2 linked regions of the Lonchura striata genome follow. The protein of the gene in region 1 purifies or fractionates together with the protein of each later gene. This does not show direct contact. Links are inferred from orthologs where the notes say so. Each region holds a gene or a part of one and is shown in the gene's direction. Other genes may lie near its edges.

What was found. Proteins that work in one complex are often made in the same cells at the same time.
Region 2: the proteins of CLNS1A (region 1) and GAR1 purify together in Homo sapiens (affinity purification with mass spectrometry; 3 studies listed by BioGRID and IntAct, counting the BioPlex papers as one, with this or other methods). This does not show direct contact. The link is inferred for Lonchura striata from reciprocal best matches to the Homo sapiens genes CLNS1A and GAR1.

Annotation. Positions count from the first base shown.
Region 1 is NC_134604.1:32,435,839-32,442,685, reverse strand, and holds the start of CLNS1A (methylosome subunit pICln), read left to right. Parts: upstream 1-3,833; 5' UTR 3,834-3,916; coding exon 3,917-4,035; intron 4,036-6,579; coding exon 6,580-6,716; intron 6,717-6,847. UniProt on the Homo sapiens protein: Involved in both the assembly of spliceosomal snRNPs and the methylation of Sm proteins.
Region 2 is NC_134606.1:46,155,161-46,162,205, reverse strand, and holds the start of GAR1 (H/ACA ribonucleoprotein complex subunit 1), read left to right. Parts: upstream 1-4,037; 5' UTR 4,038-4,114; intron 4,115-4,124; exon of another isoform or gene 4,125-4,211; intron 4,212-5,323; 5' UTR 5,324-5,336; coding exon 5,337-5,514; intron 5,515-5,594; coding exon 5,595-5,749; intron 5,750-6,557; coding exon 6,558-6,617; intron 6,618-7,026; coding exon 7,027-7,045. Other genes in the region: CFI (complement factor I), read right to left, coding at 681-825, 1,494-1,812, 3,362-3,421. UniProt on the Homo sapiens protein: Required for ribosome biogenesis and telomere maintenance. Part of the H/ACA small nucleolar ribonucleoprotein (H/ACA snoRNP) complex, which catalyzes pseudouridylation of rRNA.

The DNA of each region.
Region 1 (6,847 bases):
GCTTTTCTGTGTGAATTGCTGAAGCCTGTCAGTCTTTATTTTGAATGTATCTGTGGCTACAGTCAAGCTGCTGTGTGTTTTTGTGTGATGAGAAATTGTTGTGAAATTCATCCTTTTGCTCCAAATCCACTGCCAAAACTTTACACTTCCATTTTTAACAGATTCTGGGCATCTAAGTCTGAACTGGCCACCTTATGGCAGGCAGTGCTGTGGAGAGAAACAAGCTCCTCTGGATGGTGGCTCCTGCCTTCTGTGCTAAGGTGACAAGGTACCTGCTGCTCTCCATTGCCTCCGAACACAGCCCTGGTTAACTAAATCACTGTTGGACACCCAGTGTTCAGACAGCACTGGGGCTGGATCCGAATTCATTTCTTAAAGCTCTTAGAGCCGAAGGAGGGTTTTCAGGTAATGCCATTCTGTTCCATTCTAACTTAGAGGAAACATCTGCCTTCCCTCTCTAAGCTTCTCGTAGGTGCAGCACTCAGTACTCTGGTGTGAAGTGTCTGGATTGTGTAAATAAGGAAGATGTGGGTTTCTCCTCCTCTTTTAATGCCTCATCCTCAAAACCAGTTTTCTGCCTGGGCTTAAACTATCCCTTTCCCCACTTTTTTGGAAGAGTGGTGTGTCACAGAAGACTTGCATTTGCATGCAGGAAGAGAAATAAACTCCGTATTACTCCACTGCAGCAACTTCAACCAGCAGTAATCCAACCCCAACCACTCAGAAATTTTAATTTATAACAACCTAAAGTTGTTCTTTACTTTGGAGTTAACTACAAAGGTGGTGAGAACTCTCTGTGGCTGATATGACAACCACATTAGGTAAGAGGGGCTGAACATCAACAGGAGCATTGCTTTATAGCCCCTAAGTGCAGTGAATGGTATTTCCATGTATTTGGATCTCTTCCCACCAGCTGCCATAGTCTGATCTGTGTTCTTGGATGAACTGCAAATTTTTGTTTCCAGTTGACCACTTGTCTTGGTGTGGCAAACTTGAAAATTATTGATAACTTCCCCTTTTCTCATCTCCTGTTGCCTCTGTTGGTTTTTTCAAGCTATTCCAGCAGTGCTTACATATCACTTCACTGTGAAATTTGCTTTCATTTTGGTCTAGGTAATTATTTGTATGAGTAACAATTATTTGCGTTATTATTTGTGTAATTAAAATCCAAAATGGGTAGGCATGGTTGGCCAGCTTTCCAAAACATTGTCAATACCTCAGACTAAGAGAACCATGTTATGTTCTGGTCTTTGCTATCCAAGACCATAGATAGGAAAGTCCAGAGAAAGGAAAGATGGAGACCTAGTCTCATTAATTGGCTCATGTTTGTGAGAACCTGCGTTTGCACACAGGTAGCTAAATTACTCCTAAAAAGTAAATTTTAAACTGATTAAAGGGAAGGTTAACTCCCATGACAAGCTAACAACTTGCTTTTGATATGTTGCTATGGCAGGAGCATTTGCCATCCTGACAAGTAGAGAGAATGGATGTTTGCATTGATGCTGTCTCACTGATGGCATTAGCAGAAGCATCCCCTGGCAGAGATGTACTTCACTGATGCATCAGTAATCGCTGTTTCTCACTGCAGTAGCAAGAGAAATGGGGTAAATCCAGGGAAGAAGCAGGACCAGTGCTCATGAAGGGGTGGCAGCCTTCCCATCCCTGAAATGTGCTGTCCTGCAACACCGCCCGCTCGCCAGGTCCTGCAGTAGTGTCAGGTGCTGACCCCAATTCATCACTGCTGAGAAAATCAACTGGATACCCTTTAAGCAATTCAGGTACTTGTGATTTTCTTTTTCTTCTCCATGTGCATATATGAGACGTTAGGTGGTGGTCACCCACCAGAATTTCCCCTTCCAGCATCCAACAATGGTAATTGTGAATCTGCTGTATTTCTTTGTTATTGTTATCTTTCCCTCTGTCACCTGGGCAATGAGACTTACAGGTTAAAATAGGTATGGCAGAGATCAAGAAGCATTTGGAAAAAGCTCTCAAGCACAAGGTGTGATTGTTGTGGTGTCCTGTGCAGGGCTGGCAGATGGACTGGATGATCAATGTGGGTCCCTTCCAATTCAGGATACTCAATGGTTCTGTGACTGCTCTTGGTGCTGTCGATTATAGAATCTGAACGTTTTGGGTTGGAAGGGACATTAAAGACATGTTTCAACCATCTTGTTCCAAACCCCCTGCTGTGGGCAGGGACAGCTTCCACTAGATCAGATTGCTCAGAGCCCCATCCAACCTGTCCTTGAACACTTCCAGGGATGGGGCAGCCACACCTTCTCTGGGCAACCTGTGCCAGTGCCTCACCACCCTCACAGGGAAGAATTCCTTCACAGTATCTAATCTCACTCCGCCCTCTGTCAATTTGAATCTCTTTCCCCTTGTCCAAAGTCCCTCTCCAGCTTTCTTGTATCCCCTTTAGGTCCTGGAAGGAGCTGTACGGTCTCCCTGGAGCCTCCTCTTCGGAGAACATCTCTCAGCCTGTCTCCACAGCAGAGGCGCTCCAGCCCTCAGCGGTCACCTCAGCGCTGCCCTTGGCTCCTCTTTTCCACTCAAAGACGACCTCACTCGGACCCGCCCGCGGCACCCCGAGCCGCGGCCGCACCGGGCCCCGCGGAACGGGAGCGGAGCCGTGTCATCCCGGGGCGGAGCCGTGACATCCCGGGCGGAGCCGTGTCATCCCGGGGCGGAGCCGTGACATCCCGGGCGGAGCCGTGACATCCCGGGGCGGAGCCGTGACATCCCGGGGCGGAGCCGCGGCATCCCGGGGCGGAGCCGTGACATCCCGGGGCGGAGCCGTGGCGTCCCGGGCGGAGCCGTGACATCCCGGGGCGGTGCCATCGCATCCCGGGCGGAGCCGTGACATCCCGGGGCGGTGCCATCGCATCCCGGGCGGAGCCGTGACATCCCGGGCGGAGCCGTGGCGTCCCGGGGCGGAGCCGTGACATCCCGGGGCGGTGCCATGGCATCCCGGGGCGGAGCTGTGGCGTCCCGGGGCGGAGCCGTGACATCCCGGGGCGGTGCCATGGCGTCCCGGGGCGGTGCCATCGCGCCCCGGGCGGAGCCGTGGCGTCCCGGGCGGAGCCGTGGCATCCCGGGGCGGAGCCGTGACATCCCGGGGCGGAGCCGTGACATCCCGGGGCGGTGCCATGGCGTCCCGGGGCGGTGCCGTGACATCCCGGGGCGGAGCCGTGGCGTCCCGGGCGGAGCCGTGGCGTCCCGGGCGGAGCCGTGGCATCCCGGGGCGGAGCCGCGGCATCCCGGGGCGGAGCCGTGACATCCCGGGGCGGAGCCGTGGCGTCCCGGGCGGAGCCGTGACATCCCGGGGCGGTGCCATCGCATCCCGGGCGGAGCCGTGACATCCCGGGCGGAGCCGTGGCGTCCCGGGGCGGTGCCATGGCGTCCCGGGGCGGAGCCGTGGCGTCCCGGGCGGAGCCGTGGCGTCCCGGGGCGGTGCCATCGCGTCCCGGGCGGAGCCGCGGCGCCCCGGGGCGGAGCCGTGGCGTCCCGGGCGGAGCCGTGGCGTCCCGGGCGGAGCCGTGACATCCCGGGGCGGAGCCGCGGCGCCCCGGGCGGAGCCGTGGCGTCCCGGGCGGAGCCATCGCGTCCCGGGCGGAGCCGTGACATCCCGGGGCGGAGCCGTGGCGTCCCGGGCGGAGCCGTGGCGTCCCGGGCGGAGCCGTGACATCCCGGGGCGGAGCCGCGGCGCCCCGGGCGGAGCCGTGGCGTCCCGGGCGGAGCCGTGACATCCCGGGGCGGAGCCGTGACATCCCGGGGCGGAGCCGTGGCATCCCGGGGCGGAGCCATCGCGTCCCGGGCGGAGCCGCGGCGGCCCGGGCGGAACGGCATCACGGAGCGGCGCGTTCCGCTTCCGGCGGCCGCGGCGGTGCAGCAGGGCGGCGGCGGCGGCGCCATGAGCTTCCTCAAGCGCTTCCCGCCGCCGTCCGACGGCGTCCGCCACCAGCAGCCGGACACGGAGGCGCTGCTGGCGGGGCGCAGCCTGGGCTCCGGCACGCTGTACATCGCCGAGAGGTGCGGGGACACCGGGCCGGGAGCCCTCGGGCGCTGCCCCGGCCCTGAGGCCCCGGGATGTGGGGGAGGCCTCGGGGGCTGCGGGGCTCTGCGGGGCGTCCCGCGGCTCCGCTCGCTTTAAAGCAGGCAAGAGGCAGCGGTACCCGCTGGCTGGGGCATCCAGGGCCGGGCTGGATGGGGCTTGGAGCGACCTGGTCTAGTGGGAGGTGTCCCTGGCCAAGGCAGGGGCTTGGAACGACAGGGCTGTAAGGTTCCTCCCCACCAAACCGTTTTGTAAAACTCAGCATGGTGGAGAAATGTGCACTTGCAGCCCTGAAAGCCAGTTGTGTCCTGGGCCACAGCAAAAGCAGCGTGGCAGCTGGGCAAGAGAGGGAATTCTGCCCCACGGCTTTTGTGAGACTCCACCTGGAGCGCTCTATCCAGCACGGGAATCGCCAGCTAAAAGGACCTGGAAAGCTTGGAGCAAGCCCAGCAGACACCACACAGTTGATGAGGGGACTGGAGCACCTCTTCTGTGAAGACGGGCTGAGAAAGTTGTGTGGGGACCTCATGGCAACCTCCCAGTATCAGAATGGGCACGCGGGGAGGGCACAGAGGGGCTCTTTGACAGGAACTGTAGTGACAGGACAAGGAGGAATGGCTTCAGACTGAAAAAGAGCGCTAGATTGGTTTTTAGGAGAAAATTCCTTACTGTGAGCAGGGTGAGACCCTGGCACAGGTGGCCCAAAGAAACATTGCATGTCCCATTCTTGGAAGTGTTCAAGGCCAGGTTGGTTGTGGCTCCGAGCATCCTGGTGTACTGGAAGGTGTCCCTGCCCAAGGTAATGGATTGGAACTAGATGATCTTTCAGGTCTTTTCCAACCCAAACCATTCTATAATTAAAACCATGGCAACTCTCCTCTTTTAACAGGGGAGTAGACGGGGCTGGTTGGTTTCTGCTTTTAAGAACTACTCTGGTTCTGTGAAGTCTTTCATGTTGCATTAATCACATGGAGACTGTTTTTACCAGGCAGGAATTAGTCTAGTTATTCTGAAAGATGTTATCTGAGCTCTTTATGGTCTCCTTTCAGTTCTCCCTGCATTTTATAGCTCAGGGGGACAGCTTGATAATTAAAACCATGTAATTTTCTTTAACCATGGAAAAGTACTCATAATAGATTCTGTAACTGAAGAGCATTGTTGGAACAAAAACATAATTTAAAATGTGCACTTTTAAAAACCTCAGACTAGGAAACTTTTATGAAATGGCCATTATTGTTGGAGGAGCTTTTGCCCCATCAGAGCTTATTAATGCTGTGTTGGAGAGGAATCTCTCTGCATATTTGTTCACTGTTTTATTTAGTTTGGTTACAGCTACCAGGACTTCTGTTTGTGGGGTATCTGCTCTGAGGATGTATAATGTTGTGTTTCCTTGTAAGTTGCTTTCAGTAGACTTTAGTGTGAGGCGACTGCAGGTCTGCTAGTTTCCATGTATTTCAGTTGCACCACAGAGGTTTCACTAGAGTCTCTTGTTGGGATGAACAGAAAACACCAGTGTTTGCAGAAGTGCCATGGGAGAACAGGGTATCCAGGAGCATAATGTGGCTCTTGATCCATGTAGTGACTCTCCACCAGCAGCTGTAAACATTGAGGACTGGATAGTTGAGGCTAGGAAATAAACTCCTTGCTCCCACTGTACTAGCTTTTGCTCTCAGCCAGATTTTCTAATACCAGGAGTCTTCTGTGAGCTTTCCATTGGTTTTGTTCCACCACAAAAGCTTGTGAATGCTGAGTTTTGCACATGGTGGAGGTCTTGCTTTCTGGCACTGAGTATTTCTGTTCACTGTGTGACATCATTGATTACAGGCACCCAAATCTAGTTTGAGTTTGATTTCTCAGTATGTAGAAAGATGTTGATTGTTCTGATATGAAGGAGGCAGCATCCTGGGGGTGACAACCTGTGCTGTCCCATGCTGTGGTTAGGGATGACAGCAAAAATGGGGAAAGCAGAGGCTATAGCACATAAATTGTGACTGGAGGAATACCCATAACCTGGCTCTGCTGATCACAGAACTGGCTGTTTTCTGTCTACAGGCTATACCCACATCAGATCTATAATTCCCTAGGAATTATTATGTCACTGACTTGCCTTTCGGTGTTCTTTGTTTTCCTCTTTGGAAAACCACATTTAATAGCTTGAATTACAAATCATCTGAACCTCTGTAGTTGACTTTGGAATGCTAGATACCTGCAGGGAGAAGAAAATGGAGACGCAGGGAGGAAAATTCAGCATTTAGTGCAAATGAGATAAAGTTGTGATGGGTTTAGAGTTCTTAGCTTCACATTCTTTCAGCAAAGGTGTCTTTTACCTCAGCCATCAATTAATGCGGTTGCAAAGACCTGTTCAGGCAGGTCCAGGACCGTGTATGCCTGCAGAGTGGGCCAAGTGCCTTGTCCACAATTACTCATGTTTTGGGGGTGGTTTGCTTTTCTGCAAGCTTGAATCAGATACTGTCCTCCGTTAATTTCTAACTTTCTAAATTCCTCTTTTCCTCCCTCATTAGTCGCTTATCCTGGCTGGAAAACTCCGGAGTTGGCTTCTCCTTGGATTACCCCACTATAAGTTTGCACGCCGTCTCCAGGGACCCGAGTGCCTACCCAAGGGAGCATTTATACGTCATGGTGAACGCCAAGTTCGAAGGTAAGGAGTGTTGCTTGCTGCTCCCACACAGTCCTGGGTGACAGGATTTCCTCCTCAGTAGGAGGAAATGTTGGTTTTAAGTAATTGCTTGTATTTTCTTTTTTATTTTCCTGAAGGATAGTTACTGTAGA
Region 2 (7,045 bases), on another chromosome or scaffold:
GCACTGCAATAGCAGTTTTAGTTTTCTGGGGACTTTTTTTAGGTTTGGTTTTTTTTTTTTTTTGTAAGGTTGGGAAGTTAAATTACATGTATAGGTGTAAAATTATTAGGTACAGGATACAGAGGTACTTTTATGAGGAGCTGAATATGCAACTTGGGTTATCATTGTAGTCACAGGGAAAAGATCAAGCTGTGTGTGACTTCAGCCATCCCTGGGGCCAGAGAAAGCAGTGGCATGTGGGGTGAAGGAAAAAACCCCCATGTTTTGCTCCTTGTTAGTCTGGCTAATGCAAGTGGCAAAACAGAGCTGTACCCTGTTGTCAGTTGTCCTGACAAACCTTTCTCTGCCCACTGGTCATTGCTCAGAGCGATCTGGGGGTGGTCCATCTATGCATTTTCCCTAACACAGGCCTGAGAGAACACCTCCACATTGGTCTTCATCTTTATTTTAAAGCAAAGCAGTTATGGTTTGTATAGTTGTAGCCTGTAACAGAACACAGAAAACTGTGTTTTTGCTTTCACTCTCAGGTGTCAGTTTAAGAAGTTTTATCAGAAATTTGTAGCCAATACATCATTCATGAGTTTTCTGTCTTAACTGTTGGCTGTTACTGGCACCTATTTAAGCATCACTGCTTTTTCAAATCCCCTGCAGTTATCCAGAGATAAATTCCCCAAACTTACAACTCAAAGCCAAGGTGCCTGCAAGCCACATTTGCTTCATTCATACTCCATTCATTAGCACATACAAAACTGTCATCCTTATGATTCACGGGTTTTACTCGAAGCAAACTTGAATCTCCATGATCCAGATCAACTGAAAATGTTTCTTAAAAAATAAAAAAGAAAGAAATTTTTAAAATCCCCAAACAAAATCATATTATATAGGTATTATTATAGATATTATATTGTATTGTATATATTATATAGATGTATCTAATGGAAAGACAGCATAAAAACAAATCAGGACTAATTTTGTATTTAAAGCCAAAGTTCATATGGAAAGAACATTAGATTGGGAATCAGAAGGTTCAGGTATTATTCCTGAATTAGTTCTGAGGGTTGACTTTGTGTCTTTGAGCCTGCTAATTTCTCAGAATATGACAGTTCAAGGACAAATGAGGGTAATGGGTCCATAAGAGTATTTGAAGATCTATCAAGAACATGTTGCATTTTAGTCTAATGACCTTCTTTAGGGGATTTTTGATAACCAACCAGTAATACTTGGAAGCGAGAGGGCCACATCCTACTTCTATTATCTGTGTTGCAAAATGCCTGCAGCAGTCTGTGTAGCAAAACCAGCAGCAGGGTGACCAGGGCCTGTCAATCACTTTATTTTTTATGAAAATCAGCAGATACTGCCCATTTTCAGTGACACTTCATTTTTTGTTTCATGTTATTACTAGTGTGAGAAAATGAACAGACTTTCTGTAAATAGGGCAAGCATCTCCTCAGCCACCCCTGATGGATAAATTTCGGAAAAGGAGGTGTGAATACCTTCAGGCTTGCATGTTCCCTTGTGCAGAAACTTTGCTTTGGGTTGCTGACACTCATAGCTCTTCAGCTGACAGTAAGTACGGAAGGTCTTGCCATTGGCAGAACAAACTGCAGAGCCATTCTTTGGGCACTGGTAGGGAAGCTTGCAGAGGCATTTTCCCTCCACACATCGTTCCCATGGGTGACAAAAAACTTTCCTACAGGACTTGTGGGTGTATTGGTTGCCCAAGCATTCTTCTATGAGGTAGTTGTCTTGGTCAGCTGGTTGGGCAGGTTTAACCTGTTGAAGGTGGTTTTCTGCAGCCTTAGATGCTGCATTCTGCAAGGCACACAAAAAATAATTTAAATAAAAGCAAGATTAGGGACTGCACCAAGAGTTTTGCATCCCTTCACTGACCTCAGCAAAGTGCCCATTTATAAGCCTTTTCCTGTGTAATCAATAGTTCTTAAATACCATTTATGGTGTTTGTTCCCTTGTCTTTTGCCAACTCAACCTTCTCAGTTTTTCTGAACTATTTTTTTCTTTTTGGATTATTTACCTGGTGTGATCTTCACTCTTACTGATCTGCCACAAACTTTATACTCTTTACTTTTCAAACATCAGCTGAAGTGCACAGCAGAGTAGAAACATTTTTAAAGGCATTGGTTTATAACACATCCCAGCAATTGGACTGCAAGCAGATTAAAGCATAAAGGAATTTAAGCCCCAGAGAAAGAGAATAGCAATTTGTTTGGTTTTTTCTCCTAAGATTTGTTTTATTGGCCTCGTTGACTTTAGATTTAAATATCATCTGTAAATATTTATGAACGACTTACTAGCAAATGACTGTATAATGATTTGTTTTGCAGAGCCCACGTGACTGTTCAAGTAAAAAGTACCTCAAGTATCTGAAAGCAATTTGAAAATCAAGTGCTCATCCTTATCAGCGTTTTTCTTGTCTTGCACAGCAGAAGGTTTGCAATGTGGATGCTTCCATCACTGGACTGCAGGTGCAGATTGTGCCCCTCCCTCTGATGCCCTCAGGGTGAGCAGCACCTTGTTTGTGCAGTCCTCTGCTGACTTCTGTGTGCTGCCTGAGTGCTTTTGCTTACTAAGGTCTGTGGGTAGGAAGAATCTTTGAACATGGAAAATATTTATGGATGGCCTCTGTGTAAAAATGGGAGAAAAACAGTCCTCAAATGTGATTTATCAGTTTTGGCTGTGTCAACTGGATCAATAGAGCTGAAGTTTAAAGTTCTCATGAAATCCTGCCCACAGTAAAGTCAGGGAGGATGTAGCTGGGGCAGAATTCAATATCTCTCCTTTTCATGGCTGTATAATCTCATTAAATCCTTCCTGCTGTTCTTGGGCCAGTAGAATCCAAACTGGGAACCAGATCCACCTTGGCACAACTCCCATATTGTGCGAGGTGTTCCTCCTCATGGGGAACAGGTGCTGATTTTTATCTCAGAACTTCTCTGAAAGGCTCAGATTGGCTTTCCTGGACAGTTCTGCCTGGAGAAAATCTGCAGGAAACCTGCTGGCAATAGGAGACTACCATGCTGCCATATTACAAGACTGCAATCCCATTTCTCAAAAAAGGGAGGTGGGGAAAATTGTAGCACCTTTCTGTGGTCAGCCATGCTTGCAAATTTGGCACAGGATCCTGATTAAAATCTTTTCCACAAACCTGTTAGCATAAGCCCCAGTAGAATCAAAACATTAAAGAGAAATAGCAAACTTCAAACACTCAGGCTGGGTTAAAACGAATGAAGCACAAATACCATGAAAGGAACTTTAAAAAAATAAATTGGTTTTGCTTTTGTAACAATAAACTGTTTATTAAACGTTTTAAAAAGTTATGCCAACACAATAAAACGTATCTTACCTCTGATCCACAAAGACAAAAGAGACACAAGAAAACCAAGCAAATTAGGAGCATTCGCATGATGAAACTTTATCTCCCTTCCTAGACAAATTCCTCTGGCTGTGATTCTTTTGAATGTCAGCTGTTAGATTTGGGTTTAATTTTTAACCATTAGAAAAATATTTTCAAGCGTGTTTAGAAATAAAGTACAGGAGCCTCAACTATTAACCGATAAATCTGATCTCTTCGAAAGATCATGCCTTAACTGGTTTTATCGCAAGTGGATGACGAGGTAACAAAAGCCAAGCCCTTGAAGTAAATGATTAAAGGGAAGCGCTTGTTGGGGTTGCACTTTTCTTTGCGCAGAGGAGTCCGATCGATCCATGGCGCCGGCCGCCCTGAGTGCAGGCGCTCCCGCCCGCCAGGTTACCCTGCAGGGCGAGTGCCGGCGCTCCCGCCCGCCAGGCTACCCTGCAGGGCGAGTGCAGGCGCTCCCGCCCGCCAGGTTACCCTGCAGGGCGAGTGCCGGCGCTCCCGCCCGCCAGGCTACCCTGCAGGGCGAGTGCAGGCGCTCCCGCCCGCCAGGCTACCCTGCAGGGCGAGTGTGCTCCCCACACGGCTCCGTGCCCAGCCCCTATCCCTGGCCCGCCGCTCCCTCGGGAGCGCGGGACAACTACCGGGCACGGGAGCCGCTTTGCGACAGCGCCCTTTCATTTACGGCAGCAGCCCCGTTTGCGGCAGCGCGCTGTTTCCGGCGGCGGCGCGCACGTGCAGGTACGTCCCGCGCGGGAGCCGCTGCCGTGTCCGTCTGTCTGTCCGTCCGTCCGTCATCCCCCAGGGAATGGCCCCGGCAGCCGCGGTCCCCCCGCCTGTGAGCTGATAAACAATCCCGAGGGCCCTGTGAGGCGCTGCGGGTGCGCGCCCGGGCAGTGCGGCCTCCCGAGGGAGCCTCCCGAGGTTTAACGGGGCCGAGAGGAAGGGCCGGGACCACCCCTGATGCCAGCACGGGCAGTGAGGGATGGACAGAGGGAGAGCAGCCCTGCCGAGAAGGACTTGGGGTGCTGGTGGTGACAGGACGGACATGGCCCAGCAATGGAGTCATGACTCACAGCCCAGGGAGCCAAACCTGTCCTGGGCTGCATCCAGAGCAGCGTGGGCAGCAGGGACAGGGAGGGGATTCTGCCCCTCTGCTCTGCTCTGCTCTGCAGAGACCCCACCTGCAGGGCTGCATCAGCTCCAGGGTGCCCAGCACAGAAGAGACGTGGAGTTCCAGAGGAGGCCCCGAGGGTGGTCACAGGCTGGAGCACTTCTCCTCTACCTTCTCTGCTTGGCCTGAGAGTGGGGATTCTTTAGCCTGGAGAACAGAAGGCTCTAGGAACATTTTACAGCAGCCTTCCAGTGCCTGAAGGAGGCTACAGCAGAGCTCGAGAGAGACTTTGTACAAGGGCACATAGGGATAGAGTAAGAGAAGATAGTTTTAAACTGAAAGAGGGTGGGTTGAGATGGGATATTAAGAAAAAATTCTATACTGTGAGAGTGGTGAGGCACTGGAACAGGTCACCTAGAGAAGCTGTGGGTGCCCCATCCCAGGGGGTGTTCAAGGCCAGGGTGGATGGGCCTCTGAGCAGCCTGTGGAATGTGTCACTGCACACAGCAGAGGGGTTGGAAGTAGGTGACCCTTAGGTTTTCTTCCAACCTGAACTATTCTGTGATTTTCTTACTTTGTGCCATTTATGGGGACTGTCATCAGCCCTTATACAGATGAGTGAAAAAAGTGCTGGTCACTGCTAGTCACTTTTTGCAGTTGGCTGTTGCAGTGGATGACATCTTAAGTATAAACTTGATTTTTCACTTGTGAGGACTGAAAACAACACACCATTAAATTAACAAACCAGGCTGACAGGACACTACAATTTGTACAGCAAATCAAATGTGACACGTCTTTTGTATCTTAAACGACTGATTTTTTTGTTCACAATGTAGGAAACAGTAGAGAATGTCTTTTCGTGGAAGAGGAGGTGGAGGAGGAAGAGGAGGTGGCTTCAGCCGTGGAGGAGGTGGTGGTGACAGAGGTGGCTTTAACCGTGGTGGTCGAGGTGGCTTTGGACGGGGAGGTGGAAGAGGAGGCTTCAACAGAGGAGGATATGACCAGGGCCCTCCAGAAAGGGTAGTTTGTAAGTTACATGGAGAAACTTTATTTATTTTATTTAGATTGTCTGCTTCAGCTCTTTAGCTTGTTTGTTCTTTATTTCAGTGTTGGGAGAGTTCATGCATCCCTGTGAAGATGACATAGTTTGTAAATGTAAAACAGAAGAAAACAAGGTGCCTTATTTCAATGCCCCAGTGTACCTGGATAATAAGGAGCAGATTGGCAAAGTGGATGAAATATTTGGACAGCTGAGAGACTTTGTATCCTTTAAAAAAATTGATTGGATATGAAATGGGATTTCTCTAGGATTTTAAAATAGTTCAGGGTTGTATGTGAGGCTTGCTGCAGCTGTAGGTGCTTCATTCACACTAAGTGCGTATCTTACAGCTTTTTTGATATGACTGAATACTTGAAGTCAACCAGAGATTTTCACTCTTTAGCAGTACTGATGATGTGTTTTGGATCCATGGTGGTTCAAGTTGTTACTTTTTCTGCCTAACTGACCAAATTTTCTGCTGTAGGTTACTAAGCCATAACAGAGTTGGATCAAGGGCCTTGCGGATTTTTGTACATTAGGGGACCTTGCTTATGCTCCAGCACATTATTTAATTACAAAGTGAGTTTATACTAAGATGACCTGTTGCTCATTTTCCATAAAAGTGGGATATACCAGGACATCTGCCCATAAAAGTGGGATGTGCCAGGACATCTCTGGCAAAGCCAGCCTGACACAGAGACATTGGGTGCATTCTGTTGTCACTGCCAGGTGGACAGAATCCATGACAAAAGCAGGATAGCTGGGGGAGTAACCTTGTAACACGTCAGTTAGGACTCAGCCTGTGTTGGTTGGTTGAGCACCAGTCACTAGCTATGTGCATTTTCCTCTCCCACATTAAATGTGAAGTAAAATGTGCAGGTTTAAATCACTTCTAATTGCAAATGTGATGAAATTTAGCTGAATTTATGAAATACTAACTTAGAAAATATCTGAATGTTCCTTTCATATACTGATCAAAATCACAGTTTTTAGTGTTTTATTACTGCAATGCTCCTTAAAGAAACCAACAGTATTTTTCAGTGAAACTGTCTGAGAACATGAAAGCCTCTTCATTTAAAAAAATGCAAAAGGTAAGTCAATCTCAATAACAAAATTTTACTGAATGTCATCAGTTAGCTAAGTCTAATTTGTCAGCAGATAATAAAAGCTTTATTAGGTATTTAATAACTTTAAAAGCAGCTTGTCCTATGTAAGCGTAGGAATTAAGTTCCTCATCCTTTCTAGTTTTGTGTTTGCCACATTATTCCTTCTCCCTGCCCCATGAGAAGAGATGCAATAAAATCACACAAATATCATCTATATTTTAGCAGCTTTTTAATTCTGGGGTTTACTTCTTGTGTGCTTTCTCTATTTGGCTTTTTGCAGAGAATAGTTTGACATAATGGGATAAGACCAAATTGTGGATATTTGTAAAGAGAGATATTAATGTGCTTCTTAGTCTTGGTGTTTTGAAAGCCTAATGGAATTCTCTTCCTGCAGTTTTACATTGATCCAGCAA